Linked DNA regions of Bombyx mori. The protein of the gene in region 2 purifies or fractionates together with the protein of the main gene of each other region. This does not show direct contact. Links are inferred from orthologs where the notes say so. Each region holds a gene or a part of one and is shown on either strand. Other genes may lie near its edges.

Region 1 (6,777 bases), on a different chromosome or scaffold from region 2:
TATCTTATTAGCATGGTATAATGAGTAATTAATGCCCATAAGAAATCGATAAACTGTACTAACACTAGAGATGGCTGTAAACAGTCCATTAGCAATCAAATCCGGTCTCATATGCTTCACAACATCAAAGGGGGCAGCTTTAACTTTAGGTATTATTTTATCGGCTATACTCTTCAATTCCCAGTTGAATCTTTTGAATAAATCTTCAAACATAAGTGCCAATAAAGACCCCGCCAATTCAAGCCTTTTGTTCCCATAGTAATCTGGATCGTCTATTGCAGTTTTATTTGTTTCGGCTTCAATTACCCTTTTCACCATTATCGCAAGGTAAATGGCCTTTACGTAGAAATTGTAATTCTCAACCGATACGTGAGCTAATATAGTCGTAGCTAATAGTTCACGAGCGTCATCAATTGGTGAGCGTACTTTTGTGTTTCCACCTTGATACCTTTACATTTAAAACAAAAATAGATTTTAATAGGTACTGTATGGAAAATGTGGAAGCATTTAAATATATGTAATGGCAATGGTTAAGGTTTAAATGTACGTTTATTTTTTAACTATAAGCATATTAGATCTATCAAACGGTATTTTTATATGAATGCTCGCAAGGGATGGAAGACTGTAAGTACACTTTCACTGCTGAATTGGATTTATTTCAACTTCTCCCGCGTTCTATATAGATATCTTTTTCCAGGCCCAATTTGTCATATACTGGACTACTTTCCTTGGACATATTTTCTCTATCTCCTCAGCACAAAGAGCGTACTTTATCACAATTTAGCATAGATTTTTAACGAAATTAAATTATGAACGCGTTCAATATATTATTAGTCGCGAACATTTAAAACAATTAGTAACTATTAAGTAATTTGATTACAAAAAAAGCTTACAGAAACAGCGGGGTAGTAAAATATTTTTATTTATATATGCACTAAACAGTGATAAATTAGATGTAAAATGAAACCTTACCTTTTTACTTTTAGTTTACTTCCTATATAAGTCAGAGCTTGATTTTGAGTAAATATTTTCAAATTATGGCAATCTAGAATACAAGGTGCCATTTTTTTTATTGTATTATCGTCAGTACCTACAAGCTGCATTATTTCTTGATCACTACATATGCCCATGGCTTTAAAGGCGACAGCTATTGGAATATCCTGAATATAAAAAAATACAAATTAGTGGAAACTACATAATTGGAAATTATTTATTTTAGCTTTTGAAATAGCTTTTGTAATTTTGAAGGGAAGAAGTCCAATTCAAAACATATTATGGTTTTATTTTTATTTTTTATTGCTTAGATGTGTGGACGAGCTCACAGCCCACCTGGTGTTAAGTGGTTACTGGAGCCCATAGACATCTACAAGGTAAATGCTCCACACACCTTGAGATATAGTTCTAAGATCTCAGTATAGTCACAACGGCTGCCCAACCCTTCAAACCGAAACGCATTACTGCTTCACGGCAGAAATAGGCAGGGTGGTGGTACCTACCCGTGCGGACTCACAAGAGGTCCTACCACCAGTAAAAAATACATATATAGCTTTGATTATTGTTTGTTAAATGAAATTGATTTAAGTAGTAACATACATCAGACAATGCATTATGTCTGAGCACATATTTTCCATGTTTAAGAATCACATTCGTTCTAGTTTTCTTCTCATGTGTGGAACTTGTAACCTGACATTGTACTGCTCCTTTGAATTCATCAACAATCATTCGATTTCTAGAGAGTTGCTCTTGAATTAAAATCACCTTTTCTTGACCTACAGACAATAAAAATTGTTTTTCATTACTCAAGTAAACTACATATATATGTACTTATACAGGTGTCCTGAAACTCAAGGTCAAGCGGGTACGGGGCTAGGTACTACTCGTGCAGGGAAAAATAAAAACAAAAATACATTTCATTTTAAAAACCATACATCCATTGAACTTCTATTAAAGGGGCTGCATAAATGAAAAAGCGTACATGAAGCCAATATAAAACTAACTGAATTCACTCCATGTAACTGTATGCAATAGTGATCGAATAATAAAATATTGTCACTCTTGAAATCAAAACCAATAGTGTTCGGATCCCAAAACTGTTTTCTTTTTTTTTTAGAAATTTAGATAAATTTTAGCATATTTTTTGGCTATGCTACTCAATCAGATCATCTCTTTGAACGTTCAAACGCAGTTATTTTTACAGTATCGTTAAAATGATAATTTGAATTTGATTGTCTTTAACTTTGTTTTAGAGCACTGTTAATAAATGTGTTTCATTAAAACCATATTATTTTGTCTAGAAACCTAGCTCATAACTGTATATTCACAGAGAACTCAGTATTTCATTCATTTAGACCACAAAAAAAAACCCAAATGTAGTGTGAAATGCAACCTTAATGTGGTCAATGTTAGGTTATTATGCTTTAAGTCTTGCCAAATTTTTTATTCTATGTATTTTTAACTTAAAGTTTTTCTTTATATTTATTTATTATATTTCTTTATATTATATTTATTTAAATTTTCGTTTATTTTTATTCTGACTAAATATAAGGCTCCCAATGTACTTTACTCCAGATTAACAAATTAATAAAATTTAACTTTATGATTACAATTATTACACATTTAAATATTTTATGTACATTTTACATTTATATACATTGGAGTTTTTTTTTAATATTAGTTGTATAAAATTAAATTGGTTTCTTACCTCTTATAATAAAATAGCCTCCAGGATCATGGGGACACTCATTTAACTGTGCAAGCTCAAAATCCGATTTATTAGTAAGAACGCAGTTTGAAGACCTAAGCATGAGGGGCATTCTGTAAAGAATCAAAATACAGATTTCAAAATGATATATGAGAGTGATGTTAATAATAGGTATATAATTTAATTACATTTCAAATGGCCAGTATTGTTAAACTTCATAAGCAAAGACCTAATGTTAAAGTAATTAAAGGAATCATTAACATGTTAAAAATTTGTGATACTATTACTTTGATATTGACACAAAAACTGTTTTTACTTTGACTACTTTATTAATACTTTGACAGACATGTGTCGTGAAGATAGGTAAAAGGCAGATGATGAACTACTTAAATTCCTACATCATCAATAGTTGCAGCCCATAAGTCAATCAATTTTTAACTGAGTTACATTGGGTGGGGTGGACAAACAATAAAACATAATTTCTCTGTCGAGCTTTTCATTGAATTGTTTTTAAGATAGGATATTTTCAATTGGGAGTACAGAATGTTAAATTCATTTGATATGTATAATACAGAATTTTTTAAAGCCTGGAATGTTCTGCTTTTTAGTGAGTAAGATCAAGATATAGTAATAGATCAAGCAACATTACATCTGCTAGTATTAGAATATGCATTTCTTCATTTATTTAAGATGTTACCTTCCAATCAGTTGTTTATTTTTGATCACCCTCTGGTTTCCTCTAATATATTCTATATCAACAGTTATAGGAGCTGAGTATGTTATATCTCTAAGACGACATTCATGAGGTGTCGTTGGCTTAGTGATATTGAACCCTTCTTCCAAGTCAGGTGTACCAACATAGGCATTTAAATATTTAATATAGAACAGTGGATCAGATTCACAAAATACTTTTTCATTAGCCTGTACTATCTTCTTTATCTCCACATTTATGAAGTAATTAAATGAATCTATGTGCTGTTTCACCAAACCTTTAACTTGAAGAAATGAAGGCACTAATTTCCATTTATCCTGAAAGAAAACATTCATATGAACAGTGTTAAGCTGAAATATTAGAAATTTAAGATAAAATCAGGACGTCAGTAAATTGTACTATTTTTTTCTAAGATTTTTATGATGTTATTCTATAAAATTCATACATTTTATTATTCAAATAATTATGATCATACTTTGGTAGGGTTTTGAACTCAACTGTATATTGTCACTTACAACTTTTGTTACTATACAATTGAACTTTGGAGTGATTAAATATCAATGAATGAACAAAATCTTAAAGACAGTTATATGATTTTGTTGTTTGGTTAGTAGTAATATTATAGTTCGTGTATTTTTTTTTCAATTGTGTATCAAAACAATAGTAGTAATTCAGAAAAGTAATAAAGCTAGTACCTCAAGGGTTTTGACAGGGTCCCGTAATCCTTTGGTATCCCACTCATTTTGTTTTTTATTAAGTTCGCCCATCATGTAAATTAAATAAGCTATTGTAATATTGAACTATCTTCGGCAGTAAATCATATTGTCCGTATTTACCAAGCGATGGAATCTTGGAATTGTTTTATAGAATGGAACAAATCAGATGAGTACATATGTAAACAATAAGTGCAATTTTTAACAACGAACAAACACGAGCACAATTCTGCACATTTAATTACAAACTTTAAACTCATAGATATTTTTTTGGTACAATTTTTCCTTTAAGAAAGGCAAGGGGATCTAAGCCCATACAGCGTGCCCATAAATAATTTTTAAATCCATCTATACTTTTTTTAAGGGATTTTATGACCTGGTAACTAAAACCAAGTCAAGGTCAAGTCTTATTTTAATTTTAATGAAAAGTTTTTTTAGGTAAATGAAAAATAATATTATGAAATGAAATAAAGTCGATTAATATAAAACATGGCATGAAATGAAATGAAATTAAAACGAAATAAAATGAGATGAGGTGATATGGGATGAAATATAATCTCAGTAAAACGGTGGTCATTTACTGAGACTTTTTCAGTGGATTTTCGAGGATCCCGAGAAGTTACGTTCAGCAGCTTTGTTTCATTTTCCCACATTTATGCACTTTCACAGATAATAGACAGTTAATAAACCACCGATTACCTATTTAAAGCGCCTTATTCACGATCCATCTTGCTGTACGTCCCGCCAAGGCCATGCACGATGCACGATGCAAAAGGATCATGAATAGGCTTGACGTACGTCGATAATTATTATTAATTGCGGCCTTGAGCTGACGTACAGTCGTGATGGATCGTGAATAAGGCGCTTAAACCTGAAGAAACTCTAAATAAACAAAAAAAAAAGGGTGCGTGTACTTATGTACGCGCGTAAGAAGTTAAACTTTATTTTTATTAAAGAACATCCTCAAACACGCATATTGGACATCCCTTTTCTTGACATCGTATAAATTCGGTAATTCTCGGTACGGTTCGGACAATACACGACGACCTGGGCCTTGAATCAATCCAGAAATACATGAAGTCAGCGTCGGAACGGTACTTCGATAAGGATATGCGTCATGATAATCGCCTTATCGTTGCCGCCGCTGACTACTCACCGAATCCTGATCATGCAGGAGCCAGTCACCGTCGACGCCCTAGACACGTCCTTACGGATCCATCAGATCCAATAACCTTTGCATTAGATGCCTTCAGCTCTAATACTAGGAGCAGGCTTAGGGACCCCAGTAACCGTACTCGTCGAACTCGACAAAGAGGTCGACGTGCAACCTAGCCCATGCATCAGCCCGCTGAGCTTCTCACCGGATCTTCTCAGCGGGTCGCGATTCCGATCCGGTAGTAGATTCATTCGCGAAGCAATTGCTCTTGAGTTGTTAGGTCTCCTTCGGAGGCGCTCGGGCAGCTGTTAGCAAATCCCACCCCTCCTGGCTGAGCCTTTGCTCGCCCACCTGTCCTGGTGAAACTGGAAAGGCCTTCGGGCCACCAGTAATCTCTCAATCATAAAAAAAAAAAAAAAAACGGTTCGGACATAACTCTCAAACACAGCCCACTCTCGCCGGATCTTCTCAGTGGGTCGCGTTTCCGATCCGGTGGTAGATTCCGCGAAGCACGGCTCTTGCTAGGGTTCGTGTTATCATCGTTGTCAGGTTTGAGCCCCGTGAGCTCACCTACTAGCCACGGTTACGCTGGAATAGCCGCTCCAGGCTACCAGATTAGGCAGGAAAAAAAAAAACGGTTCGGATCACTTCGACAAAGCGGCACGACACGAGAACCCTCTCATCGTGGCCGCCGGTAACTACATTCCCGATCCTGCGGAAAGAATGGAAAGCAGTCGACGTCGCCCAAAACACGTCATTTTGGATCCTTCCGATCCACTAACGGTGCTTTTAGGTACTTCAAGCACCGGTCACCGTTCTCGTCGAACCCGTCGCTTGCGACGAAGGGCTCGACGAGCAAATTAACCCTCAGACACAGCCCACTGAGTTTCTCGCCGGATCTTCTCAGTGGGTCGCGTTTCCGATCCGGTGGTAGATTCCGCGAAGCACGGCTCTTGCTAGGGTTCGTGTTATCATCGTTGTCAGGTTTGAGCCCCGTGAGCTCACCTACTAGCCACGGTTACGCTGGAATAGCCGCTCCAGGCTACCAGATTAGGCAGGAAAAAAAAAAAACGGTTCGGATCACTTCGACAAAGCGGCACGACACGAGAACCCTCTCATCGTGGCCGCCGGTAACTACATTCCCGATCCTGCGGAAAGAATGGAAAGCAGTCGACGTCGCCCAAAACACGTAATTTGGATCCTTCCGATCCACTAACGGTGCTTTTAGGTACTTCAAGCACCGGTCACCGTTCTCGTCGAACCCGTCGCTTGCGACGAAGGGCTCGACGAGCAAATTAACCCTCAGACACAGCCCACTGAGTTTCTCGCCGGATCTTCTCAGTGGATCGCGTTTCCGATCCGGTGGTAGATTCTGCGAAGCACGGCTCTTGCAAGGGTTCGTGTTAGCAACGTCGTCAGGTTTGAGCCCCGTGAGCTCACCTACTAGTTAAGGTTACGCTGGAATAGCCTCTCAAGGCAACCAGCTTAGGTAGGA
Region 2 (6,651 bases):
ACAATGCGCAGTCATCGTAAGGCAAGTCGCATACTTAGGCATACTTAGGCATAGCAGCGAGTTGTCGCCGAATGGTCCACCCGCCATTAGGCCCGCGGAGTGAGTACCGGGTGGCTCTAATGAGCTGTGACTTTAACATCTGTGAAATCTTTGTAGAACTATTAAAAGTCAAGTCAGAAAAAAAGGTAGAATTGCGTGTAGAATTTAACAAATTTGAAATTAAAAAGCGCAGGCCAATCCGTCATCTTAAACGTGACGAAATCCAATTTACAATGCTAATTATTATTATCCTTTCGTAGAAAGACTTTTACCAACTGTCCGTCAAAGTTCTCAGCTAAATAATGCCACCGTAGCAGTATTGGATGCGCTCAATAATGACTTATATAGTACTATTATTATTTATTACTAATCACTAGAAACTTAAGACCAGTGCTGGTGACAAACACTTAGTTTTACCAGTACATTTTATCTACACAAGCATATTCTGACAAATATAGCAAATTTTCATACAATTCCACTAATATTCAAAAAAATCCCATGTACAGGCAAAACTGCACAAGCTTAACTTACATAATGCTTAAGTGTATACAGTACCTATACCCTGTATAGCTAGCAGAAAAGGATCAAACCGGTTTTTTTTGTAACACATTGTTATTTATTTTGCAAGGTGATTTTAATATTGTAGAAAGTGATAGTGTAAAAGTAATTTTAACTATTCTAGATTTTATTTTATTCCTTTTTGAACTGAGTGATCTCATCAAAAAGTATCATTAGTTGGTTACATATGCCTGACCCATAACTTTTTGTAATTTGGTGCATTAAAGGATTTAGACCCAGGTCAAAACACTGTGATTTTAGGTTTTTTTTCGACAAGGTTACTATGGCATAGTATCTACTTATAACGCCGAATTCTTAAGTTAAGATTGGCATTTACTTATTATTTTAAAATTATAATAAAATAATGGAATATAATCACTATGTATTATTATATAATCATGTTAAATAAATATTGTTGCAAATTATATTTTACTTTTTAATTTACTTTAACGTTTTAATGAGGTTATAATTCTTGAATTAATAGCGAATCTTAAGCAGACAATAATCAACGTCCTCCTTGAATAAAGTGGAAGTCTACATACAGTTATTATCAACTGACTCTTATGATTAGTTCCAGATGGCTCATTCCAATCTTTAGGGGTTACCAGAACCTATAGACGTCACTTGAATTTGAACCCATCTTTAGTATATTACACGCAAAATTATAATTTGCGTAATTACTGGTGGCAGGGCCTTTGTGAGTCCGCACGTGTAGGTACCACCACCCAGCCTATTTCTTCCGTAAAGCAGTAATGTATTTCGGTTTGAAGGGAGGGGCAGCTGTTGTAACTATACTGGGGACTTAGAACTTATATTTCAAGGTGGGTGGCACATTTACGTTGTAGATGTCTATGGGCTCCAGTAACCACTTAATACTAGGGCTATGAGTGTGTCCACCCATCGAAACTAAAAAAATAATTTAATCAGCAACTAAACCCTCTTAGTTTCCCTGTATATTCTCAGTAGCTCACAATTTCAATCTCCTGATAGATGGACTTGCCATGTGCCTTTTATGATTAGCTTCCTTTGGAGACATTCAGAGAAGTTTAACAAACCGTTTCCCCAAACATAGTACAAATAAAAAAATAACAATAGAAGCTGAATATTTTATTCATCATCTATTTCATCCTCTTCACCCTCTTGATCTGGTGTCTCCCACCAGGTTAAAAGTCCAAGTCCTGGTTCATTTATTCCTCCAATCAGTCTATAAGGTGCTACCGTTTGTACTGTACAATCTGTTCCTGGAGGACCTGTTGGTAAGCTCTCTTCAAAAAACTCACTTGTCACTCGAAATCTTATTGATTCACCTGTAATTTGTTTTATTATTAAAAGTACAGATTTTCAATGTTAACAGTAAAAAGAATCTTTGTAGTGATGATAAGGCATAATATTTGTGTAGTTATTATAATTTACATCTAGATTGTGTCAATCCACCAATGTAGTTTTTTAGGTGCTTTTATTATTGGCATTGTCTTCTAAACAAATACCCATTTTATTAAGTTTTGTTAGTCAACAGTGCTAACCTGTGTTTTGGCATATTTTATTTTGCTTAAATGAGTGGACAATCACATGGCCCACCTGGCATTAAGTAGTTACTGAAGCACATAGACATCTAAAATTTAAATGCAGCCACCCACCCTGGGACATAAGTTCTATGGTCTCCGTTTTTACAGTGCAACACATGCTCCATCCTTAAAACCAAACACTACTGGTTGACACAGAAATAGGCAGCTGGTGGTGGAGTCCACCCATGTGGACTCATAAGATGTCCTACTACCTAATTATACAAATTATAATTTTGCAAGTTTGGTTTTTATCACCCAATATTATTCCATCATTGTGGACGTCATTCGTGAACATTTGTTAAGTACGTATTTCATTAGAAGCATTGGCACCTGCCTGCGGGAATCTTTATTATAGAAAACCCATCTGTGGCATTTCTAAACAATACAAAGGTAGCAATGCTAATGCTGGGACCAGACTACGACACCAACACATTGTGTTTCACTCAGCAAGTGTACTTTAATAGATATTAACATATATTTAAAATTTTAACTTATTTATTAAAAATTATTAAATGTATATTAATTAATTGGAGTTTGATAATACACACCCGAGTCCATGAACAAATCATGTTTTTCTCCATCTTCCTTAGGATATTCCCATACCCATGCTTGATCGGTTTCGTCAAATCTAGACGGATGCTGAAGAGCATTTACTGGTATTAATATATCATCGAAAAAGCCTAATGTCACTGAAAATTTTAAATAGTAATTATAATCATGATTTATTTACATTTGGGTCTCATTATTGAGTATACATGTAATTTTATGACTGATAAATTACCGTGCACGCCTTCTCTACTGCAGCTCCTTATTTTTCCTATAAGTATCTCTTCAATAATAGGTCGAAACACGATATATCTAAATTTCACCTCTGTGTGAGATGAACCGTCTCCAGGGAATATGTACGAGTGTCCAACATTGGTTATGTCAAACAGTACAATACATAAACCTACTTCTAACACAACCTGAAAATACATATTTAATAACATATATATTATACAATATACAACTAATAATAAATACAATTAGATAAACTAATTCGGTTAAATTAATTTGGATAGTTATGATTTATGAACCTTATTAGCTAACTTTCTGTTGAGTAAAGTTGTTATAGAATCAGTTAGACTTTGACGAAAGTATTCTGGATTAACTCGAATAACATCTTTCATTTCAGCTAATACAAACATTGGTTTATTTGATAAATATGTTACTATTAAATTCTATTTAAAACTTCGGTTTTTGAAGATTTTATGGTCTGCTCTGTTTACTATTTTGCTTTTTTTTTTAAGAATTGAAGGCATGGGTACGAGTTTTTTAAGTCCACCTTCCAATGTTTCATTCCATATCGACGCTTGAAAGGCAAACGTGACTAAGCGACAATAACTGCTTTGTACATAAATGATAGGCAATAACCATATTCGAGGCGCAAAAACTATATATTTCTAGGTCTATTAAAATCATTTCAATCCTACAGCTACTAGCTAGATTCTACTACAGCTAGATTCGTTAAAATAGATTTTTTTCAGGTATTCCAACTTTAACTTTAGTCTACTGTAAAGTTCACGCATTGTCATTGCATTGTCACCTAGTCACGTTTGCCTTTCAAGCGTCGATACTAATCGGCTGTGAAATATCAAAACCCAGTATCTGCATAAAACTAAATTTTACAGGAGAGCCGAAAAACAATTTCATATCTTTGACAGCGTGCCGTTTCAATAATATTAGTCGTACCTTCTTGAGAGTGATTGCAAAATTTGAGGTGCATAACAGGCTTTATAAAAAAGTAGATTTCATGCGTCTATCACAAAAGATGTGCGTAGAGGAGCAGTTACTAATAAAAAGATTGTTTTCTTAGATCAAACTTTTTGAGTGTGACAATTTCAAAACCTAGTAAGATCACTTGCTTTGTTTTCATCTAATTCTAAAATATAATGAGTGGGGATAAACGCAAATTAATAGACTTAGTAAGATCACTTGCTTTGTTTTCATTTAGGTCTGAATTTACTGAGTAGGAACTAAATGCAATTTTTTAAACATAGTAAGAAAAAACAGAATAAAACAACATAAATATGGGCAGAAATAAGCAGTTTTAATGAAAAAGAAAAAAAAAACACATAATCGGAAACCAAACACTATTTGTTCACAGTAAAAAATCAAAAAATAATCACTCAAAATATTTGAAAACAGTCAAATAAAAATAAATTATTCGGTTATTAATATTTGTCCACTAGAAACTAAATTAACTGGATTATTATTAATCGGTACACTTTGCCAAGACTTCTTCTCCAAAACTTCTTTAAGCTAAATAAAGTTGTTACTATGCCTTCCTTATTACTTTCGTTAATGCCTCTTGGAATATTTTTTAAGGTTGGCATGATCAAGAGATTGTGTTTTTAATAAGAGAATTCAACTCGGAATACGGAGATTAAAAATCATTCAAAACATATTACGGCACCCATTTACAAATATTATTTCAACCAAAGAACTAAGCAAAAAATTATTAATGGGAACAAGGTCATCATTGCGTCGCGGTATGCGTTTCTTTTTTACCCACTCATACGATTTTTCGAATTCGATAACTTCAATATGCGATTTGCAACCCAAAATTACATTCTTATAGTCTTCAAAATCGTACACAGCATCTTTTGTTTTTAATCTGCCTCTCCATATTGCCATGAACTCCATCAGCGACATGCTTGTGTGATCTTTAGTTAGGTAGGTATTACAAAGTCCAACTTTTTAAATTGAAAAACCCAGAGATTATTATAGTAACAAGTGATGTAAAGAGGATCCAATTTTTATTTTGAGCTCTGCAATTATCACACCACAATATCAAATGATTAAAATCTCTTTCTTTTTCGATCATTGCTGCAATTGCATTAACAATGTCATGAGCATCTCGTCCAGAACAGGCTTCATGCCATAGAATACAAATATTATTAACATTCGTTTTCTTTCTGATTGGTGCAAATGTCAAGTTGAAAGTTATCATTCTACTCAAGAAAAACGATTCTTTGACTTTAGGCATGTCGGGTAACAACATAACTTTTTGTAAATCCATCGAATAGTATCTCACAGAGGAAGTATTTTCTAGGGAGGCATCTTCTTGATACTTTTGTATTGCTTTACTTGCTCTAGCTTTGTGATCCCCGTATGCAGTTTTAACATCCTCTGGAATATTTGCACCTTCATTTACTTTATGTGTCGTAGTAGGTTGCAATTTTGGAAAACAAAAAACCTTGACAATAATAAAACACACTGAAGCGTACTTACATTTCACCATGTTGTTCTTTTAAAGCATTCAAGATCAATTTCGACCTATAAAACTGATTTTTACTCATTTTATAGACAAAAACACGAACAACGTGCAACGATTTTCTCACTTACTAAAGTTTCGCGGGAGTTTTGACGTTTATTTCAACCATTTCATTGCCTTAGTATCTGCATGAACCATTTTAAATCCAAGTAACTACAAGCACTTATTAGGTTTTTAAAATGGTTGATGTTATATACTATGTTCTAATCTTGTAATTTTTGCATTTTGAAAACCTTTACTGTAGATACTAGGTTTCCGACTTTGTGTAACTTCGTTTTTTACAAATTTTTGGGGGTTTTTGCTATCCTAATATGTGGAGAATGGTCTACAAGGTCGAAAAATGCAAAAACACACTTTTTTTTAAATTTGTCAGATACTAGGTTTTGAAATTGGACAGCCGTAATACACTTAATAATAAAATTTGAGGCTGATTCTGTAGAGAAAGCATAGAGTTAGTACCTATCAAATAATAAGTATAATCTATGGTTAGTACCTATTAACTCCATGAGAGAAAGAAGACCCTTTGGCGGGACCACGAGGAGTGCAATTGTGTGATTTGTTTTATTTTGTTTATTTAGTGTTTCGTTAAATGTGTAATGACGGTGGTTTATTAACTGTTTAATATCTGTGAAAATGCACAAATGTGGGAAAATGAATTAAAGCCGCTGGACGTAACTTCTCAGAATCCTCCAAAAAGTCGACTGAAAAAATCTCAGTAAATTATGTACCACCATTTTACTGAGATGAAATTCATCCCATATCATCTCATCTCATTTCGTTTCATTCCATTTCACTCCATATTAACATTTTTCATAAAAATAAGAATATAAATTAAAATAAGACATTTCTTAAAGGTCTTAGTTACCAAGTCGTAAAATTCATTAAAAAAAACTAAAATATTGTTTTTATTTGAAATATTTGACGTAAAGGTCTATGTTACCAGGTCATAAAATAAAATAAAATTTACGTATTGTTTTTATCATGCAATTGAAAAATTAATTTAGCATTAAGTACCGGTAAAATAGGGCGATTAGGGATTGAGAGGCGAATCGGGAAAAAACCGGGAAAATCTTTCGACGCTCAATATAAGTTTTATATTCGTTGCAAAATCTTACATTTCTTGTAGTTTAATAGCAGAATGTTGAAAGTTCACAAAACAACTCTGAATATGCA
Region 3 (5,440 bases), about 300 kb from region 2:
GGTCTTGAATTATTTGTGGAAGTTCAGAGGTTTAAAAGGTAGATAAACATGAAAATCGGACGTCGGACGGATTCCTTTTGTTTGTTTTAAGTTTATTTTATGCAAAAGTTTAGGTGTTTTATTTGTCGATTGAGGAACTACGAAGTCTGCCTTGCCGGTTCAGCTAGTGGTTTTATATAAATTTATTGCTAGGTAATCGTAATGCAGTGTTAATACCGATCCCACGTGAATTCGACGATTAAGTTATATTAGTAATTTATCAGGTTTTTTTTGCGATGAATTGATATCGGTAGAGTTTTAGTGTAAATAGCTTCTAAGGTAGGTTCCGAGCAGCGCATGATACTGTTGTGAACGAAATAATGTTTAAGAGCAACATGATCAGCGCGTATGAAGTGATCACAAATGTTATTCACGGAAAGAAGAGATTCGAAAGCAAACTATTTTACTTTAATTCCTATTTACTAAACTTGTTATTTGTTAAATAATTGGGTAAAAAAAACATAGCATTACGTTCGATTAGTCAGTTATTTGTTATAAAATCAAAACAGAAAGAAATAATCCATAATCTTACTAATACCTAACTATGAAATATTTGCAATTTATTTAGTTGGCTCAGCTAGTAGTGAACACTGGTGGATGTGGTCCTTTGGTCGAACTATTAAAAGAGAGTACGGGTGGATCAAGAGTCCCAGCTTGTATGGCACTAGGATTTATTGCAGGGCAATCAGATCAGCTCGCAATGGCAGTTATAGAATCGAAGGTGAATAAAGTTTACATTTGTGTTTGACACAACTCAATAAAATATTAATATTTATATTATACCTTTTATATATATTATACCTTTTAAACTTAATTTCACGTCTCCGGTCACCGGTCACGTCTGTTGAACCAACGACGCCAGGTGGGGGAGGAAAGTCCTCGAATGGAGGCCACGGATGGGTACCAGGAGCGTGGGGCGTCCTCCAACCAGGTGGACCGACGACTTAGTGCGCACAGCGGGAAGTCATTGGATGCGGAAGGCGGAGAACCGCATGCTGTGGAAGGCATTGGAGAAGGCCTATGTCTAGCAGTGGGCAGATAAAGGCTGATGATGATGATGATATTCAAAAATTATATTTTAAGGAAATAAAGATAATTTAAATTTAAAATGAAAATATTGAATCAAAATTAATAAAATTTATTCAAACATTGAGGGCGGCGCGATAAACAGGGCCTAGGGCGCCATCAAGCCTAAATCCGTCACGGCTTATACCTATGTCGATGCCATAAACATAACTTATTATATATATTTATGAGTGAAAACTGGTAATACTGAGACTATTAGTCAATTTATGAAACATTGAATTTAAAAAAAAATATGAAATAAATAATCTTATTAAGTTTTTTCACTACACTATTTAAGTTATCAATCATCACAAATTGTGACCTGTTGTGTTGCCTTTTCTGGTTTTATAAATAAAAAAAATGTATCTATCAATTTTAGGCCATTACACCACTTGTTGAAATTCTACAAAAGAAAGATGCAGAAGATGCAGAGTTGTGTGCAGCTACTTGGACATTAGGCCACATCGCAAAACACTCACCACAACACAGTCTGGCTGTTGCTGTGGCCAATGCTCTACCTAGACTGTTACAAGTTAGGTTGACCTCATTCTTACTTTAGATTAGTTTAGATGTAAAAGTATTTGTGGTTTAAAAATTAACAGCAAGCAGAATTAAAATTGACATAACGTTTTTTTTTTATTCGATGTACTAATTCTGATCACAATATTAAGCCAAAGTAATAAAATTACTATATTATTGTCATCAGTCTTTAATACTTGTCTGATACATGTGCAAATAGCACATTTATAATCTTTTCATTTATATACGTAGATAGATGTCAATATTTAAAGTATATTTAAATTATATTTAAATTAAACATCGTTAGTTTAATTTTACAGCTTTACACAAACCCAAAGTCTTCAGGAGAAGTACAAGCTCGGACATCATGTGCATTGAAACAGGCATTACAATGCTGTCTACATAGACCTGCATTAGAGACATTGTTACATTCTGCACCTGCTTGTATATTGAAATATGTACTAGCTCAGTATGCAAAGGTAATTATTCTAGTTAGGCAAATATAACAATAATACACTATTTCAAATGAAACAGTGCTCCAGTAATCAGTAATGATTGATTTTTCGATTGATTAACGATTGATTCGTTTAAATATGATGTAGCAGTTACTTAAGTAGTAAACTTCTTTCGCTGAAATATTCATTTATTTCTATTTTTTAAAGAGTTCTACCAGGCGGGACTGTTTTTCAAATTGCTAATAAAGAATATTTGAAAGTAAAAATTAAAAGTGAAAACTATTTGATTAACAGTTAATTGTAATTATTTTTAATATGCAAGATCAATCAGTTTCAACTGTGTAATATAAATTTGTATATATATATTTCCTAGTAAACAGGTCCATCATCCAAATTATCATCTTCTTCTTCATAATCTTCCCCGTTATCAAAATAGTTATTTGCATAGTCAGTACCATCATCTAGTTCGTATTCTTGCTCATGTTCATCTTCCAGCTCCTCTTCTTCATCTACGTTTTCGTTGTTTAATTCTTTTTTTTTGCCGTCTATCGCCTCATCTGTTTCCAGAGTCTCTTTTTTTTCAAGCGTTTGTAATCTCTTTGCTATCTCTTCGGGATCATCGAGTTTTCTTTTCCTCGGAACAGTACGCGGACGTTTTGCTTGAGGCCGTAATTCGGTAGGCATGTTAACCCACACGCAATCCAATAACTTATTCTGCTTCGCATCAAGTGCTAACATTTTGTACTTATCAGAATATCGCTCTACACCGTCAGTCTCTGTTTTGACTTTAACAAATGCCGGTGATTCGTGTAGATATTCAATGAACTGATCTTTGACAATGAGCATATAGTCAGTGGCGGCATCACATATAAGAGGTAGTGGTTTTTTCTCAAGTTTTGGAAACAGTGGTGGCGGCACAAGTGTTGGAGGAGCATTGTCGCCGCGTGTCACACCTAAGGCTTGTATTTGCTCAGTAGTTAATGATAAACCGCTACCCCCGCGTCCTCGTCCTCTACCTGCCATTGTAACTGTAATCGATTTTTTGATCAGAAAACAATTTGGTGATAGTTAATCTATTTAAATTTGAAACTCCAGATGGTATCTACCTATCTCAAATATATTAAGTGTATAATCTATGGTATCTACGTACCCTACTCATTTGTTATTGTTTTGAATCGGATGTTTTTTCGTTTAATTCTTTCATAAATCAGGTAATAGAGACGTAGCTCATACAGCCAACGTTAAAAAAAATCGTGGCTTTATTTATTTTTCAAAACGTAAAATGCAGCAGTATGAGAATTATTGATAATTTGAAATTGACTATGGCGTGAAATAAGAATAAACTAGAGATGACATGAAATAAGCCTATGTATATTGCCTTCATCATTTGAAGAACGTGAACCAATTACCGTAGTAATTCGTAATGAGGTTCATCATTTATTAGAACAAAATATACGTGCGAATCATTCTCTTGCAGGCTAAATCCAAGAAATGTGTATGTTTTTCTTATTAGGGTCTTTTGCAAGTACCATTTAAATTTCATGGAGTTTCATAATTTCTGAAAAACTGTTCAGTTCAGAAATTATTATACAAATTATAATGAAAGTATAAGGAAGTAGATTATTTATGTTCGTTTTATTTTTTCAGATTCTACCCAACGATGCAAGAGCTAGAAGGCTTTTTGTTACAACAGGAGCATTGAAAAGAATACAAGAAATTGAAACAGTGCCCGGAACGTCCCTGAAGGAGTATATTAATATCATAAACAGTTGCTTCCCTGAAGAAATAGTAAGGTAAAAGACTACCTACTAAAAGAAAATTTGTCCTACTCAAATCTCAACTGTGGGCTTTTATACATTTTTCATTTTCAGATATTATACTCCCGGCTACACAGATTCTTTGCTGGATAGAGTTGAAGCGTATACACCACAAGTATGGAATAAACTCTTATGTATATATTTTCGATAGACACTTGTAGTTTTCATGTATTAACATGTAACTTTCTTTTGTTGAATAGATACCAGAACTTTTTACTGATCGGGTGCCGAGTGATTGCCAAAGCGAAATGAGTATAGAGAAAAGAAATTAGTTTATTTTTCTTATATGTTGTTAAATACAATTTATTAATACTGTTTCAATTTTCATTCTTTGTACATAGTCCAAACAATTTTTTGTAGTTGTACATTTCTTCCACCAATCTTAGATTCTTCTATTACCATTGATTGAGTCAATACTCTGTAACTGCAATAGGATTATGGTTAAATTTGTACACAGACCGATTTATCTGCGGTAAAAATCTTGCCCGATTTAGAGGGTATTATCCAATTCGCTACGAGTGTGTGCTTACAGTCAATTTAGCGTTAAGTAGTTACCTGAGCCCAAAGACATCACAACGTGAATATCACCACCCGGTCGGTGACAAAAGGTCTAAGGGCCCATTTTGGTACTGCTGGTCCACACTTCAAACTAGAATGCAGGACAGCTACGCGATAGAAACACTCAGAATGCGATTGTACATTACGTCAATATAAACCAATTTATATCAATTACCAATCGCAATACGGTTGTTTAACACTCAGAGAACGCTGTTTTCCAATATTTTTAACTTATTTTGTAAAGTTATGGATAGTGTCTAAAATAGAAGCGTAGGTATCTAAATGTTTCTTCAGTCGGCTACGTTAGACGCGCCAATATATAGACGAGCAGATTCATGTATCTCGCGATGACGAGAATTTATATTATAATTATAAATTATAGCATTATCTTTAAAAATCGGAACCCGTTTCGACAGTAGGGATTACTTTCTCTCCAAACGTTTCTTGCGTCACTACCCCTATTTTACTTTGGTAAGAATAATAGATCTGCATGGCTATCAGTGTTCTATTTTTTTAACTATAAATATATAATAGGTACACATATATGAAATATTAGTTGACCCAGCAAAGGTTGTTTTGCCATTAAATTTTTGGGTTTTTAGGAAAGAGAAATAACCTAGATACCGACTGCAGCGCCATCTGCGGGGTTGATTTGTGAATCTAAACCATCCAGGGCGCCACCCAAACGAATAGAAATTCATTCAAATCGGTCCAGGCGGAGTTCAGTGACATACACACGTACAGTAGAATTATATATAGGTAAAGATAGTTATAATTACGAGCGTGAATTTAGTAAATATAAATATTTTATTTAGACCTACAAACTTGAAGAAAAAAAAAGAATTCTTAAGCTCTTAAATTGGAACTAGATATTTCACACTGCATCGCATCCTTGTTATCTTATACCATCAGACTTTTTAGTCTCAAGGAGATGGTATAAGATAAGATAATAAACTTTTTTAAGCTACCTTTGACGAAGTTACTTCA
Region 4 (6,185 bases), on a different chromosome or scaffold from region 2:
CCACTGTTCAAATATCATTAAATTTGGAATAATTTTATTAGTTTAATTCAGTCCTCATATTTTATTCATGTAATTTTTGAGGTTCGTTTGCTATTTCAGCATCTTCAGTTACTCTTAATGTGTGATAACAGCATTTAACAAGATAGACGGTTGCATTTGATGTCCACAGGTGACTACTACCATTGTAGCGTTTGTGCGAAGCATTCTGCAATGTGATCTAATGGGTAGTACAAATCGATTTAAAGTCCTCACATGAAATTAAAGGGAGACAGTCTCGGAACACTTGAGGATTCCAATGTGGAATTTTATGGAAGTCTTTGGTCATGAAACAAATAAGCGCATGCACAGCACTTAAAATGTTCTCACTCATTGTAAAGTAAAGATGTTTGTTGTGTCCTACAGGAGTTACTGATAAAGTTGCTACTGTACTGAAAACTAGATTGTAGCTGAAAGAGTGATCTATTGTCAAATTGTGGCAATATCGAGCAATGACAATTGGCACTGTAGTAGAAACCATCTATCAGTTTGAGGATGAGTTAGTATCATGCAATATGTAATGTGCAGTTTTCTCATATTATTACTACTTCACAATTCTACTATCAATAGTAGATCTTATTTATCTTCAATTAAGGGCATGGAAATGAATTGCAATGGCGTTTCAACCATTGGAATATTTTATGTCATTCTCTGGTCCTCTACTCCTCATCCAAACACTGATCACATTATTCCTGCTATATAATTTAAAGATAGGGGACACTCACAAAGTATGTGATGCCCCATAGTAATAGCACCCACAAATTCATCCTAATTCCTTTCAGCACTCTTAGTAGCACTTTATTCACTATAGTATAAGTTTCCGTGCTCGAGTAACTCTTTAACAACAAGTGAATTGTGAGCCTGTCCTTGATTTTTCACATTATCAATAGAAGAATAAAAAAAAAACTTTTAGAAGTATGTTCATCATTAGAAGTTCCCAAAGTTCCATGTTGTCTGTGAAACAGTAATGTCTTTAAAAATGTAGATAGAAGAAGAAAACAAACAATGTACATACCAATTGTATTTCCAATTCAGTCCTGGGCGGAGTGTTTACCATCATTAATTTCTCAACTTTAGTGAGCTTGTATTTTTTCATAGCTTCTAGGAACTTCTGAATTTTTTGGGCACTCTGATTTTTGCATTCTGTGTCTTGTAAGTAATGTACAGTCTGGAAAAAGAAAGAAAAATAATCTAAATGTTTGACGAATATGATTGTAAATGTGCAATTAATATTCCATTGTATGAGTGTAGAGCACACAGCATGCAACATCATGGTTTTAGACTGCGAATAAAATTTAACGTTTATTACCACTTGACCAATGCAAAATACAGGGAATCTTTAAAGCTCTCTCATGATATATCTAAAGAAATCAATCCTATGTAAGTACAAACATATTGTAAGTACAATTTACTTGTCTATGGGTTAAAAAAAAGTACAATTTACTTAATGTAAATACAAATTATAACATTTTATTTTTAGGTATGTTTTTTATTACACAATGCTCTTCCTTCATCCTGGAATTTACGAATGTGAAAGTGACTTGAGTATGAATTTCTTTGGATAAATTGCAACTTGCCCGTGGGGTTTGATTTGCATAGTTGTATCGTTCAATTTTAATAATAGTACATCAGGGGCACTATATCCTTTAGACCAGAATGACATATTTTTTTTATTGCCCTTGCAGGCAGACGAGCATACGGCCCACCTGATGGTGAGTGGTTACCGTCGCCCATGGACTTCAGCAATGCCAGGGGCAGAGCCAAGCCGCTGCCTACCGTTTTTTACATTGAATTAGCTTGTTATATAAGCAAGAATATAATAATTATTGGATAACCTCACCTCATATGTAACAGTGGCAAGTGAAGCTTCTCTCTTATGCTTTTTATGTGTGTTATCTTTTAACTTTTGGAGAATTTGCATAACTTCATAATTACACAGAAATGCGGAATTGGCTTTTATACTGTAATGTAACATGAAGTATGTTAATAACAAAAGGTTAATAATAAAAAGTTCGAGACTTTTTTTTTATTGCTTAGATGGGTGGACGAGCTCACAGCCCACCGCCTGGTGTTGAGTGGTTACTGGAGCCCATACACATCCACAACGTAAATGCGCCACCCACCTTGAGATATAAGTTCTAAGGTCTTAAGTATAGTTACAACGGCTGCCCCACCCTTCAAACCGAAACGCATTACTGCTTCACGGTAGAAATAGGCAGGGTGGTGGTACCCACCCGAAGACCTGAGACTTGTACAAAGTGTCTATCTCAAAATATGGCAGCTATTAATCCACATGGTATTCTTAGTTCTATAAGCCACTTTAGCCTTAAATGAAAATCTAAACAATATTGTCTACTTTTATATAATGCTTAATTAAATCAGTTTCAGTGATAGCAAATATTGATCAGAATATGAAGAAAGAAGTTTCCACTTCTATCTTATTCAGTGTTAAATAATCATATAAAACAAAACTAGGTATTCTTGTGTCTGAGATTATGAGAAGAATTAAAAAAAAACTGCTTAAACGAAATACCAACTTTAAAGTTTTACTAAAGAAAAAATTATCTAAAAAAGTCTTACGTTTCCATGTTCAAATTCAACACATATCACTTGGTGTTTGACTTCTCTAATGTATCACTGGCTTTTGGCTTGATTTTGAAATATATCCACGAAGGCCCTATTATTGAAAATATTCCACATTTAACTTATTAAGACTAATATTGCTAAAGATTGGATACACTCTTTCGTAATACTCTCTTGGCGAAAATTAGCGTATATTATATTTATACATGCTAAAACCTTAAATTACTTTACACTTGTTTAATAGGGTTAGATTTGTACTTTTTAGATATTGTTTATATTGCTTAATTAAGTCTTACGTCTTCGATTTTAATAATATGTTATTATATTATTAATTATTACTGTACTGGGTAAAAATAGTATTTTTGAGCCATTGTTGTTAAAAATTAGGGTTGTTTCAAATTCGGTATAAATAAACTCTTCAGTCTTTATCAATACATACACCATAGAGTAAGATTATATATAACCTAACATACACTTACAAATGAACTCCACACACATGTTTTTGACAGCTAGTATTAAGCCGTAGACATTATGTCAAACATACTTTTTTTATTGCCCTTGTAGGGAGACGAGCATACGTCCCACTTGATGGTGAGTGATTACTGACACCCATGGACTTCAGCAATGCCAGGAGCAGAGGCAAGCTGCTGCCTAACGCTTACTCTTCACAAGGCTGGTTTGAAGAAGGATATTTCATAGCGGTCCGGAAATACCGTGGAGGGGAGCTCATTCCATAGCCGGATGGTACATGGCAAAAAAGACCCCTGGAAACGCACAAATAGTATGGATGAACTCTACTCCGGTGGCGATCGGTACGATGGTAAAAACGAGATGATGTTATCATCTTGAACATTTCTTCAGAGCACTCCCTATGGAACATACGGTACAGAATACAGAGGTAACCGAAGTCCCTCCGCAGACCCAGAGGTTCCAAACGATCCGTGAGAATGAGATTATCGACAATCCGGACAGCTCTCTTCTGTATGGAGTCAAATGGAAGTAGCTGGTATTTGGGAGCCCCGACGCAGAGGTGGGAGCAGTAGTCCGCGCGAGGCCGGACCTGTGTTTGTAAAAAACAAGTATTTGTCCAGGCGTGAAGTACCGCTTCGCTCTGTTGAGACTCCCAACATTTTTGACGCAAACCTGGCTTTCCGAAATTACTCCAAAATTGGACATTGCTCGAAATATCGACCCCAAGTATCCCAATACCTAGCTTAAACAACTAGACAAAGAGACCTCAGCTCATATCGCTTAAGCTTTTGTAAATTTAGGCCAAAACCTTGTTCTTGACGCGAAACTGCTTCTCAAGCGGAATTATAATGTAGTGTCAGCTAGGGTTAGGTTAAGGAGTCTTTTTGGAGAAAATTATCAGACTCTAACCTACGTCTTGGGCGCAATATACACCTTAGAGCCGAACCGACTAAAACAACCTGTCGTTCAACAAACCGAGTTCTAGACTCGAATGTGACAGAAATTTATCAAGGCAGGCGCGGAAGAAACTCTTAGAGTTGAATTGTTTTCTATTTATCACGTTAGCAAATAGGATGACAATCCAACGGTCGTCACCGTCACGACGACGAAGCCTCTCAGCGCCAGCTCGAGTTGGTATAAAAAGGCCTATTATCGTCTTTCTGGATTCCCCACTAACTCATAACGATCAACGGGCTTACAAAATGCTAAGAGCGTCAAAGACACCGCCAGATATAGATAAGATGGAAAATACGGTACGCATTCGGATATTACCAGTACCAGCCTACAGAGACAAATCCAGCCAGAGAAATCGTTTGAAAATAGGTTCTTACAAATATATAAATAATTTTAAAAGACTTCCGCGTCCATCGAGTTTTTAAATCTATAAGGTAATTTAAAAACCGTTTTTAGTTAAAAGTTAATTCAAAAATTTTAAACAATGTACTGCTTTAAAACATGTGCTAAAGTTTTTAGAAGTATTTTCCTATCAAAGAATTTAGTGTATAAAAATATGAAACATGTTTATTATTTAAGTACTAGCAGTATCTTTGGGCATCCAGGATCGCATGATGCGTACTACAATTACTTTTTAAATTTACCGTTTCCGAAAAATAAAATTTTTGCCACCTATGTATGGATTGATGCTAGTGGGATAAATTTACGGTCTAAAGACCGAATATTGGATAAGGAGCCTTGTGATTTAGAAATGGTGCCGAAATGGTCGTATGACGGGAGTTCAACTGGACAGTCAGATCTGAAGGATTCAGATATTACACTACTTCCCGTTGCAGTGTACAGAGATCCTTTTCGTAAGAGTCCGCATATAATAGTTTTGTGTGAAACATATTCTAGTGAAGGTTTACCGACCCCCACAAACCACAGAGTATCATCAGCTATAACCTTGAGTAAAATTTGTGACCAAGAACCATGGTTTGGTATAGAACAAGAATACACAATGTTCGATCGTGATCATTGGCCTTTGGGATGGCCAAAGCCACGAGGGTATCCAGACCAAGATTCTAAGAATTCTTACTGTGGTGTAGGTGAACATGTAGCCGGGAGAGAAATTGCTGAGTGTCATGCCAGAGCTTGTATCTATTCTGGCATGGATTACGACGGATCCAATGCAGAAGTAATGAATGGATCGTGGGAATTTCAAGTAGGACCTACATTAGGAATAAAGGCAGCTGACGATATCTGGATAGGTCGGTATCTTCTAAATCGAATAGCAGAGCATTTCGACGTTATAATTAGCTTTCATCCTAAGCCAATGGGAGATGGACATGCTGGCATAGGATGTCATCATAATTTTAGTACAAAGAAAATGCGTGCCGATCAAGGTGTCACAGAAATAAAAAGGATTTGCAAAATTTTATGCGATCAACATGAAAAAATCATTAAAAGCTATGATTTAAAAGATGGTGAAGATAACAAGAAGAGGTTGGTAGGAAAATTTGAAACATCATCATATGATTCGTGTCGTGTAGGCATTTCTGATAGAAGTGCGTCGATACGAATTCAGAAAAAAGTTATATCAGAAGGCAAAGGATACTTTGAAGATCGAAGACCTGCAGGCAACTGTGATCCGTACATGGTTTGTGGCGTAATTGCTAAAACATGTATTTGAACTTAATTTATTGGAAGAAACAACTAAAAAGAGCACTGAATATTTCGTGTTTGATGGTCTATTAGATATAATTTGATTAATAAAAAATTTATTTTTAGAAAAAATGTAAAAATTTAAAATATATACATATAAAATATTATAAAATGAAACCTAATAAAAATGAGAGTTATTTTAGTTACATTAGATATGTACTAAGAAAATCTAAGTCTAATGATTTACGATTTACTGTGAACTACTAAATTTAGATTTATTGGTCATATCTATATCTTTTGTTTTGTTTGCCACAACAAAATATACAGTATATTACTCAGCCAACTCTCATGTTTTTTTTATTGCTTAGTTGGATGGACGAGCTCATAGCCTATCTGGTGTTAAGTGGTTACTGGAGCCCATAAACATCTTCAAGGTAAATGCGCCACCCTCCTTGAAATATCCGTTCTAAGGTCTCAGTATAGACCCAGTATAGTTA
Region 5 (6,668 bases), on a different chromosome or scaffold from region 2:
GCTTACTGGAAATAATAAAAACGCTATTCATTTAACATAATCTATATACTTAAGTATATAGGAAAAACTAAAAAAGATAAATAGCATTCTCTATACCGATTTTATTTTTTATTAATTAGTAACTAAAGCCGTGTTTTGGTGTTGCCAATAAAAAAAAAGTGGAAATAGCATCCATAGACACAGCCCGCTAATACTAGACTAGACTCTAACTTTTATTTCCTACCTAAGCTGATAGCCTTGAGAGTCTGTCAGCGTAACCGAGCGAGTAGGTGAGCTCACGGGGCTCTAACTGGGAGTGATGCTAGCACTGGCCCTAGCAATAGCAGTGCTTCGCAAAATCTACCACCGAATCGAAAACGCGACCCACTGAGAAGATCTGGTGTGAAACTCAGTGGGCTGTGTGTCTGAGGGTTAATTTACTCGTCGAGCTCTTCGTCGCAAGCGACGGGTTCGACGAGGGCGGTGACCTAAAAGAACCGTTAATGGACCGGGAGGATCCGTAATGACGTGTTTAGGGCGACGTCGACTGTTTACCATTCGGTCCACAGGATCGGGTATGAGACTCTAACCAAAAGCTGCCCTAAGCACGCCCTTAGGGATCCATCAGATTCAATAACCCTTGCATTAGACGCCTTCAGCTGTAACACTAGGAGCAAGCTTAGGGACCCGTACTCGTCGAACTCGACAAAGAGTTCAACGTGCAACCTAACTCATACATCAGCGCGTTGAGTTTCTCGCCGGATCTTCTCAGCGGATCGCTATTCCGATCCGGTAGTAGATTCATTCACGAAGCAGTTGCTTTTGAGCTGTTAGGTCTCATTTGGAGGTGCTCGGGCAGCTGTTAGCAAATCCCACCCCTCCTGACTGAGCCTTTGCTCGCCGAATTGTCCTGGTAAAACTAAAAAGGCCTCCTGACCACCAATAATCACACATTCATAAAAAAAGGTACTCTAATATTGAGACTACTTACTAACACAGTCGCCATCTTCCCGGGGTTCTGTCTTGACAACAATCTCTTCTTTAACCTTGACTTTCGGTTTCGCATGAGTCTTGGCCCAGTCTGTCAAAGACATGTATTTATGTAAATATTGAAGATGCGGAAACATCATCCAAAGAGGGATGATGGGAGGAGATGGTCACGACCCTCAGACATGAGGAATGCGACTCAGGGAGGAGGAACCATTAATTTAAAGCAGCGGTCGGGGAACTTTTTTAATTACTACCCCAAAATATTTTTGTGTAAGTTGATATTACCCCATGGCGAAGAACAAAAAAAAACGAAATCGCTTCCTTTTAGCATCTTTCATATTATAGACCCCATGATAATTTGAAATCACAACGATTCTAAAGAAGTTTCACTTCAATATATATATATATAATTTTTACTCACAAAAGTTTCATTTTTACCCCACAAAATTTCATATTACCCCATTTCGGGTAATTTACCTCGATTCCCCGACCGCTGATTTAAAGGGACCGTAGCTGGATAGATCCTAAATCCTATAAAAATACCATTCCAATGTTCAGGAATTTGTTAATCTGTGAAGTCGTTATGGACGGTATAGATCAGAGTGCGGATACCGGTACCAATCTCGAGAATTGAAATGAAAGCCTCAATGTACAGTGTAACCCCTGTGCTTCACGACCGAGGTAGGCAGGACGCTATCAGCTAACTCCAGTTCGTCACTTACAACCTCACCACAACCACGAGTGGAGATGATGAGCTTCTCTAAGCCGACGCTACATAGAAAATACTGGATGAACACAGGAAAGTTGATTAGAAACTCACTCCCATCATCCATGGGTAGTTTGATGGGTGCGTCCCTGTCGAGGATGTCCTTAAAGTCGATGGACTCCAGCTCGTCAGTATCGCCTCCTCTTAAAATCATATTTATCTTCTTCTCCTCCAGTTCTTTGTCGATCTAGAAAGATATAGATAGTGGATTTAGGTCACTTTTTTTTATTGCTTTAATGTGTGGAAGAGCACACAGCCCACCTGCTATTAAGTGGTTACTAGAGCCCATAGACATCTACAACGCAAATGCGCCACTCACCTTGAGATATAAGTTCTAAGGTCTCAATATAGTTACAATGGCTACCCCACCTTTCTAACGGAAATGCATTACTGCTTCACGGCAGGAATAGGCGGGGTGGTGGTACCTACCCGTGCGTACTCACAAGAGGTCCTACCACCAGTAATTACGCAAATTACAATTTTGCGGTTTTTATTTTTATTACACGATTTTAATTACAACAAAATTAACCGATGAATGTAATTTAAATGTAAATACCTTCACGAAATCCTTTACTCTGATAGCTGGCTTCTTCATAATGTTTGTAGTTTTTTCTGTGTCCCGCCCGTAGTACGAGCGACTTGAAGAATGCCTCTCTGATGAACCGATGCCTGTAATCAATTACTTTGAGTTTTTAATTATTGACTGGCTTAATTTTCAGTATTCATTTAATTTTTAGGAGTAATCAAACTGAATAAAGCTCAGCTATTTTTAAACGCTTACTCCTGTCTGAATTGTGAAGTTCTGAATGTAATGTTATCATTAAAAAAAATAGAGTCATTCATTGATTGAATTCAACATCATTACTTAATGATTGATTAATGATTTTGTATTAATTTAGTAGCTATGATTCACAGAACTCAGTTGTACGGGAGATTGGAAGAATGTTTCGTGGATTTATAAAAACAAATGATGAATCATTCAAACAATTTAAACTAACATATTGATACGGTTGTATGAAGCCATGGTCATTTCACTTTTAACAATAGCTTTTAATTATGGCATGAAAATGAATTCATTCATTGTGTAAGGTGAAATCTATAGGAACTAACGTCAATGTATCATCTCAATTGCAACAAAACAGTTTGGTTTTAAAAATGTATTCTGATAGATGTAATAGTGATTACCGCACAAACATCATTGGCAAAATAAACTGACTATATATATTATTATTTTTACATGTAATTCTACTTTCTTATCATCAATAACTCTATTAAACATAATAAATACTTTATTTCCAATGTTTGGAATACATTGGAGGTTTTGTGGTCATAACCTGATATTAAACTGTAAATTTTAATTATGCCTATGACTAGCAACAACAAAAATATTGTATATTATTGTTAATATAATATTGTAATAAATTATCAGTTATTTTGATGGGTAGCTAATGATTATAGAAGACAAATAAATTATTTATTTAAAATGTTAACCTTCAGAGAAGACACCAGCAGATTTTATTAGTGTTGGCCCATTTCTCTGATTCCTGTTAAAATTCCGGTTCCTGTTTGAATCCCTGCTGTTCTTCTCTTCATTCCTTGTTTCTTTGGCACTTGTTGTTGCTTGTCTATAATTATACTTGAATTAATTTCATTACACTAGATCAAAATATATTAATAACTCTAATTTTATACTAATGGTGGTAATGCACTATTTCCATCCCGGTTTGAAGGGTGGGGCAGCTGTTCCACAATATAATTGAGGCTTCAACCTCATATCTAAACGTTAATCATGGCATTCGTGGTGTGCTAAAGTGGTGGTAGTGGTCTAAAGACACTGGTATCCATTTACCTGGCTCTGTAATATATAAATAAAAACAATCAACCTTATATATTTACAGGGATGCTGACAGTTCAGAAGCGTGTCAGCCTCCTGTAGTAAAAGGATTAAAAGCCACATTTGTGATTTTTTATAACTTGCATACAAACAGGAACAGGAGCTAGGTGTCTTGGGCATGACGTGGGAGGAGCTAGAACAGACTGCTCAAGACCGATATAAATGGAAAATTTGATTCAAGCCCTACACCCCAGCAGAGGCTAATAGGAAATAATGATTATGATGATGATTGCATACAAACATAATGTTGCAGTATTTAAGATTATTACGATGATGCTAGATTTTTTTTAACTAGGGGATGACGTGAGCTTGGCATTTTAGGTTTTTAGAGGTATTATATTTCATTTGAAATCAATGTTTCTTATTTTTTAAGTCAAAGATTAAAAATTACAAACTTGACTACGGTTAGTTGTCAGCAGCCATGGTTTAGGGTTATTATTATTTTAGAATATAGAGCGGTTTCAGATTGCAAGTAAGTCATGTATGTGCACTGTGAACTTTTGTAGAACATTTTGTTATTGTGGCTGATAACTGAAATAACTAATCCACCCAAGGCATAATGGTTTCGCAGTTTCACATTCCGTCAACGGAGTACATTGCTCGGTCAGTGCCTCACGAAAGCGAAGTTCTTAACGAGTGCCCAATGTGTCCAGAATTGATGGCGATATTGTGGTGGTTGCAAAAAATAACCATCTCTGTAATGTATTCTTACATTCTGAATGTAACTCACCCTTTATTTTTACTCCGAGCTACGTTCAAGTTAGGTGTGAAGACTTTTTTGTTTGGTTTGACTCCTCCAAGCATAAGATCTCTGGGTGCTTTTAATGAAGCGAGCCTCTGCATGGGATCTGTACCCAGTCCATTCGGTTTAGATGATTTATCACCGGACATTGCAATTTCTTTTTCAAAGTAATATATTAGTTTGAAATTTAGAAACTCTTTTATTTGTCTAACCTATAAAAATGTTTTCAAACATACATCAGCTGCAGCTGACATACAAAAGGAACGCATGCTATACAGCCAAGACTTTTGGAAAATGGCTGGCGCAATGCTACTGTGTAAAATGTACATAATATTTCCAGTGATTTTGATTTGTACACATAGGTATTATATTATATTGTAAGAACGTAAGATGGGATTAGTTCGGGCTCAATTCTCAGGGTCCCTTTCTCAAATAAAATTCCACAAAAGAGCTCTACTAGCTTGACTAGGCTCCACTTTCCCTTGTACTCTGCTGTACAATATAGTTTAAAACGGGTGAATAATACTCTTAGCTTTTTACATTTTATTTATGATACGGTACTGTGATATATTTTACCATATTGTTTTTACATATTTTTATTAATATATTATTCGCCAAGGGCTGGTCATTCTATTAGTTTATAATCTATGACATATGTTCTTTGCCGTTGATTCGTCGTTGTTTTGAAAATGAGTGAACACTGAACTTTAGTAGCCGTTTGAAATTCGTTAAACAATAGCAAATAACGACGATATAGAAAAAATCAGTCTATCGAAATTAACCTTCGATTTAGCCACAATGTCTCTGTTTGATATTTTTGGAGATCACCTTACTAGACAGGCCGTGAAAAATGTTTCCCGGCAACCTCTGCATAATATAGGTAAATATAATTTATTTTAAAAAGTTTTACCACTCTTAAAAAATAATATATCTGAGCTAAATGAGACCACACATTATTCATTAGGAAACCGCAGCTTGAATGAATTGCATTATGTTTTAATTATATAACTTACTTTTTCTTTTAAGTCGGTTCACGTCGTAATGTATCTAGCAGCAGCTGTACACTTACAAACTATGTCCATCAGACTATATTTTCATTTTTCAATGCGAATGTTTTGCCTACAATGACATATTGTTACAATTAGAAATCATCATCAGCCCAAAGTCCTAGAACTGTCCAAACTGCTAGACGTAGGTCTCCCCCAATATACACCATTGAAGCCAGTCGTCGGCTATGCTCATCAATTTTCGTAACTGCGCAACCTTCGCAAATCATCACCTTAAACATTTCTGATGGAAAAAATGGCAAAAAATATGTTCATGAACAATTGTTATGTAGTAATTTTTCAATTAATAAGTGATTTTCAGAAAACATGGGCAAAGTAGTCTCAGCAGGCCCCACAAAACCAAATGAACCAACAAAAAAAGGGGAAACCAAGAAATCTTTTCTATCAAATACTGGGAAAGCAATTCAGAGCACACCATCACGTAAAGTGTTCACCCCTCGTGCTGTGAATGTGGGTTCTCTCATATATACTGATGAGGATGGTGATAAAGGATGTACATTTGAAGAAATTGAGTTCACCAAACCTAAGCACTATGGTATAATTTTGATTCTATAATTAGCATTATTTTGTTAATGAAAAATTTAGTAATAAGAACCATTAGCTTGTTGATTAAGCAAACTAACACTGCATGATACACAAGGCTGCTTATGAGAACATCAGCTAAAATAAAAATAAAAATTGTAAGTATTTTTCTTTAAATGGATGGATCAGCTTGCAGTCGTCTTGGTGTAAAGTGGTTACTGGAGCCCACAATCATCAATCTAATTGTCACCACCCACCTCAAGACGTCTTAGTTGTATAGTACTACTATGCCTGCATCACTATAGACTTACTGGTATTTGGGCATTTCATTAACCTGCAAGGGAGAAGGTACCAATACCCCTATTATTTCTGCCGTGAAACAGTAATGCGTTTCAGTTTAAAGAGTGGGGCAGCCACTATAATAACAGTGACCTTAGAACTCAAGGTGGGTGATGGCATTAAGTTGTTGTTGTTTATGGACTTTGGTAAGCGTATAATAAATAAATCAATAAAATCCTTTTGCTGTTAAAATTAATATTTTTCAGATAATTATCAAAGAGATTTATTTGACTTTATTCCACTGTCGGAACCTTGTCACCTGAAGCAGCTCTCCCCGCCAAGCACCCCTCCACCTATAATTAGGAGACACAGCATGGAGCTTGAATGCTCATATCAAGATGAGTTTTATACTGGTAATATTTACAAAAC

What was found.
Region 1: the proteins of DNA-directed RNA polymerase III subunit RPC8 (region 2) and DNA-directed RNA polymerase III subunit RPC2 purify together in Homo sapiens (affinity purification with mass spectrometry; 8 studies listed by BioGRID and IntAct, with this or other methods). This does not show direct contact. The link is inferred for Bombyx mori from reciprocal best matches to the Homo sapiens genes POLR3H and POLR3B.
Region 3: the proteins of DNA-directed RNA polymerase III subunit RPC8 (region 2) and DNA-directed RNA polymerase III subunit RPC7-like purify together in Homo sapiens (co-immunoprecipitation; 4 studies listed by BioGRID and IntAct, counting the BioPlex papers as one, with this or other methods). This does not show direct contact. The link is inferred for Bombyx mori from reciprocal best matches to the Homo sapiens genes POLR3H and POLR3GL.
Region 4: the proteins of DNA-directed RNA polymerase III subunit RPC8 (region 2) and calcitonin gene-related peptide-receptor component protein purify together in Homo sapiens (affinity purification with mass spectrometry; 4 studies listed by BioGRID and IntAct, with this or other methods). This does not show direct contact. The link is inferred for Bombyx mori from reciprocal best matches to the Homo sapiens genes POLR3H and CRCP.
Region 5: the proteins of DNA-directed RNA polymerase III subunit RPC8 (region 2) and DNA-directed RNA polymerase III subunit RPC4 purify together in Homo sapiens (affinity purification with mass spectrometry; 6 studies listed by BioGRID and IntAct, counting the BioPlex papers as one, with this or other methods). This does not show direct contact. The link is inferred for Bombyx mori from reciprocal best matches to the Homo sapiens genes POLR3H and POLR3D.

What each region holds. Positions count from the first base shown.
Region 1 is NC_085116.1:7,719,176-7,725,952, reverse strand, and holds the start of DNA-directed RNA polymerase III subunit RPC2, read right to left. Parts: upstream 4,411-6,777; 5' UTR 4,184-4,410; coding exon 4,109-4,183; intron 3,731-4,108; coding exon 3,399-3,730; intron 2,815-3,398; coding exon 2,702-2,814; intron 1,770-2,701; coding exon 1,594-1,769; intron 1,161-1,593; coding exon 973-1,160; intron 449-972; coding exon 64-448; intron 1-63. UniProt on the Homo sapiens protein: Catalytic core component of RNA polymerase III (Pol III), a DNA-dependent RNA polymerase which synthesizes small non-coding RNAs using the four ribonucleoside triphosphates as substrates.
Region 2 is NC_085117.1:13,231,098-13,237,748, forward strand, and holds DNA-directed RNA polymerase III subunit RPC8, read right to left. Parts: upstream 3,774-6,651; 5' UTR 3,350-3,773; coding exon 3,239-3,349; intron 3,128-3,238; coding exon 2,944-3,127; intron 2,852-2,943; coding exon 2,711-2,851; intron 1,905-2,710; coding exon 1,705-1,904; 3' UTR 1,690-1,704; downstream 1-1,689.
Region 3 is NC_085117.1:13,528,068-13,533,507, reverse strand, and holds DNA-directed RNA polymerase III subunit RPC7-like, read right to left. Parts: upstream 3,383-5,440; 5' UTR 3,229-3,382; exon of another isoform or gene 3,107-3,228; 5' UTR 3,102-3,106; coding exon 2,448-3,101; 3' UTR 2,361-2,447; downstream 1-2,360. Other genes in the region: sperm-associated antigen 6, read left to right, coding at 608-760, 1,484-1,636, 1,944-2,102, 3,726-3,871, 3,950-4,010, 4,096-4,167; uncharacterized protein LOC105842656, read right to left, coding at 4,220-4,319. UniProt on the Homo sapiens protein: DNA-dependent RNA polymerase catalyzes the transcription of DNA into RNA using the four ribonucleoside triphosphates as substrates. Specific peripheric component of RNA polymerase III which synthesizes small RNAs, such as 5S rRNA and tRNAs.
Region 4 is NC_085116.1:2,999,730-3,005,914, forward strand, and holds part of calcitonin gene-related peptide-receptor component protein, read right to left. Parts: exon of another isoform or gene 5,717-6,185; coding exon of another isoform or gene 4,529-5,716; exon of another isoform or gene 4,468-4,528; intron 3,050-4,467; 5' UTR 2,843-3,049; intron 2,744-2,842; 5' UTR 2,625-2,743; coding exon 2,617-2,624; intron 1,998-2,616; coding exon 1,877-1,997; intron 1,205-1,876; coding exon 1,052-1,204; intron 1-1,051. Other genes in the region: glutamine synthetase 1, mitochondrial, read left to right, coding at 4,529-5,716. UniProt on the Homo sapiens protein: DNA-dependent RNA polymerase catalyzes the transcription of DNA into RNA using the four ribonucleoside triphosphates as substrates.
Region 5 is NC_085113.1:12,562,693-12,569,360, reverse strand, and holds the start of DNA-directed RNA polymerase III subunit RPC4, read right to left. Parts: upstream 4,634-6,668; 5' UTR 4,521-4,633; coding exon 4,360-4,520; intron 3,361-4,359; coding exon 3,227-3,360; intron 2,405-3,226; coding exon 2,292-2,404; intron 1,923-2,291; coding exon 1,790-1,922; intron 1,061-1,789; coding exon 971-1,060; intron 6-970; coding exon 1-5. Other genes in the region: uncharacterized protein LOC101743779, read left to right, coding at 5,170-5,251, 5,740-5,973, 6,506-6,652. UniProt on the Homo sapiens protein: DNA-dependent RNA polymerase catalyzes the transcription of DNA into RNA using the four ribonucleoside triphosphates as substrates.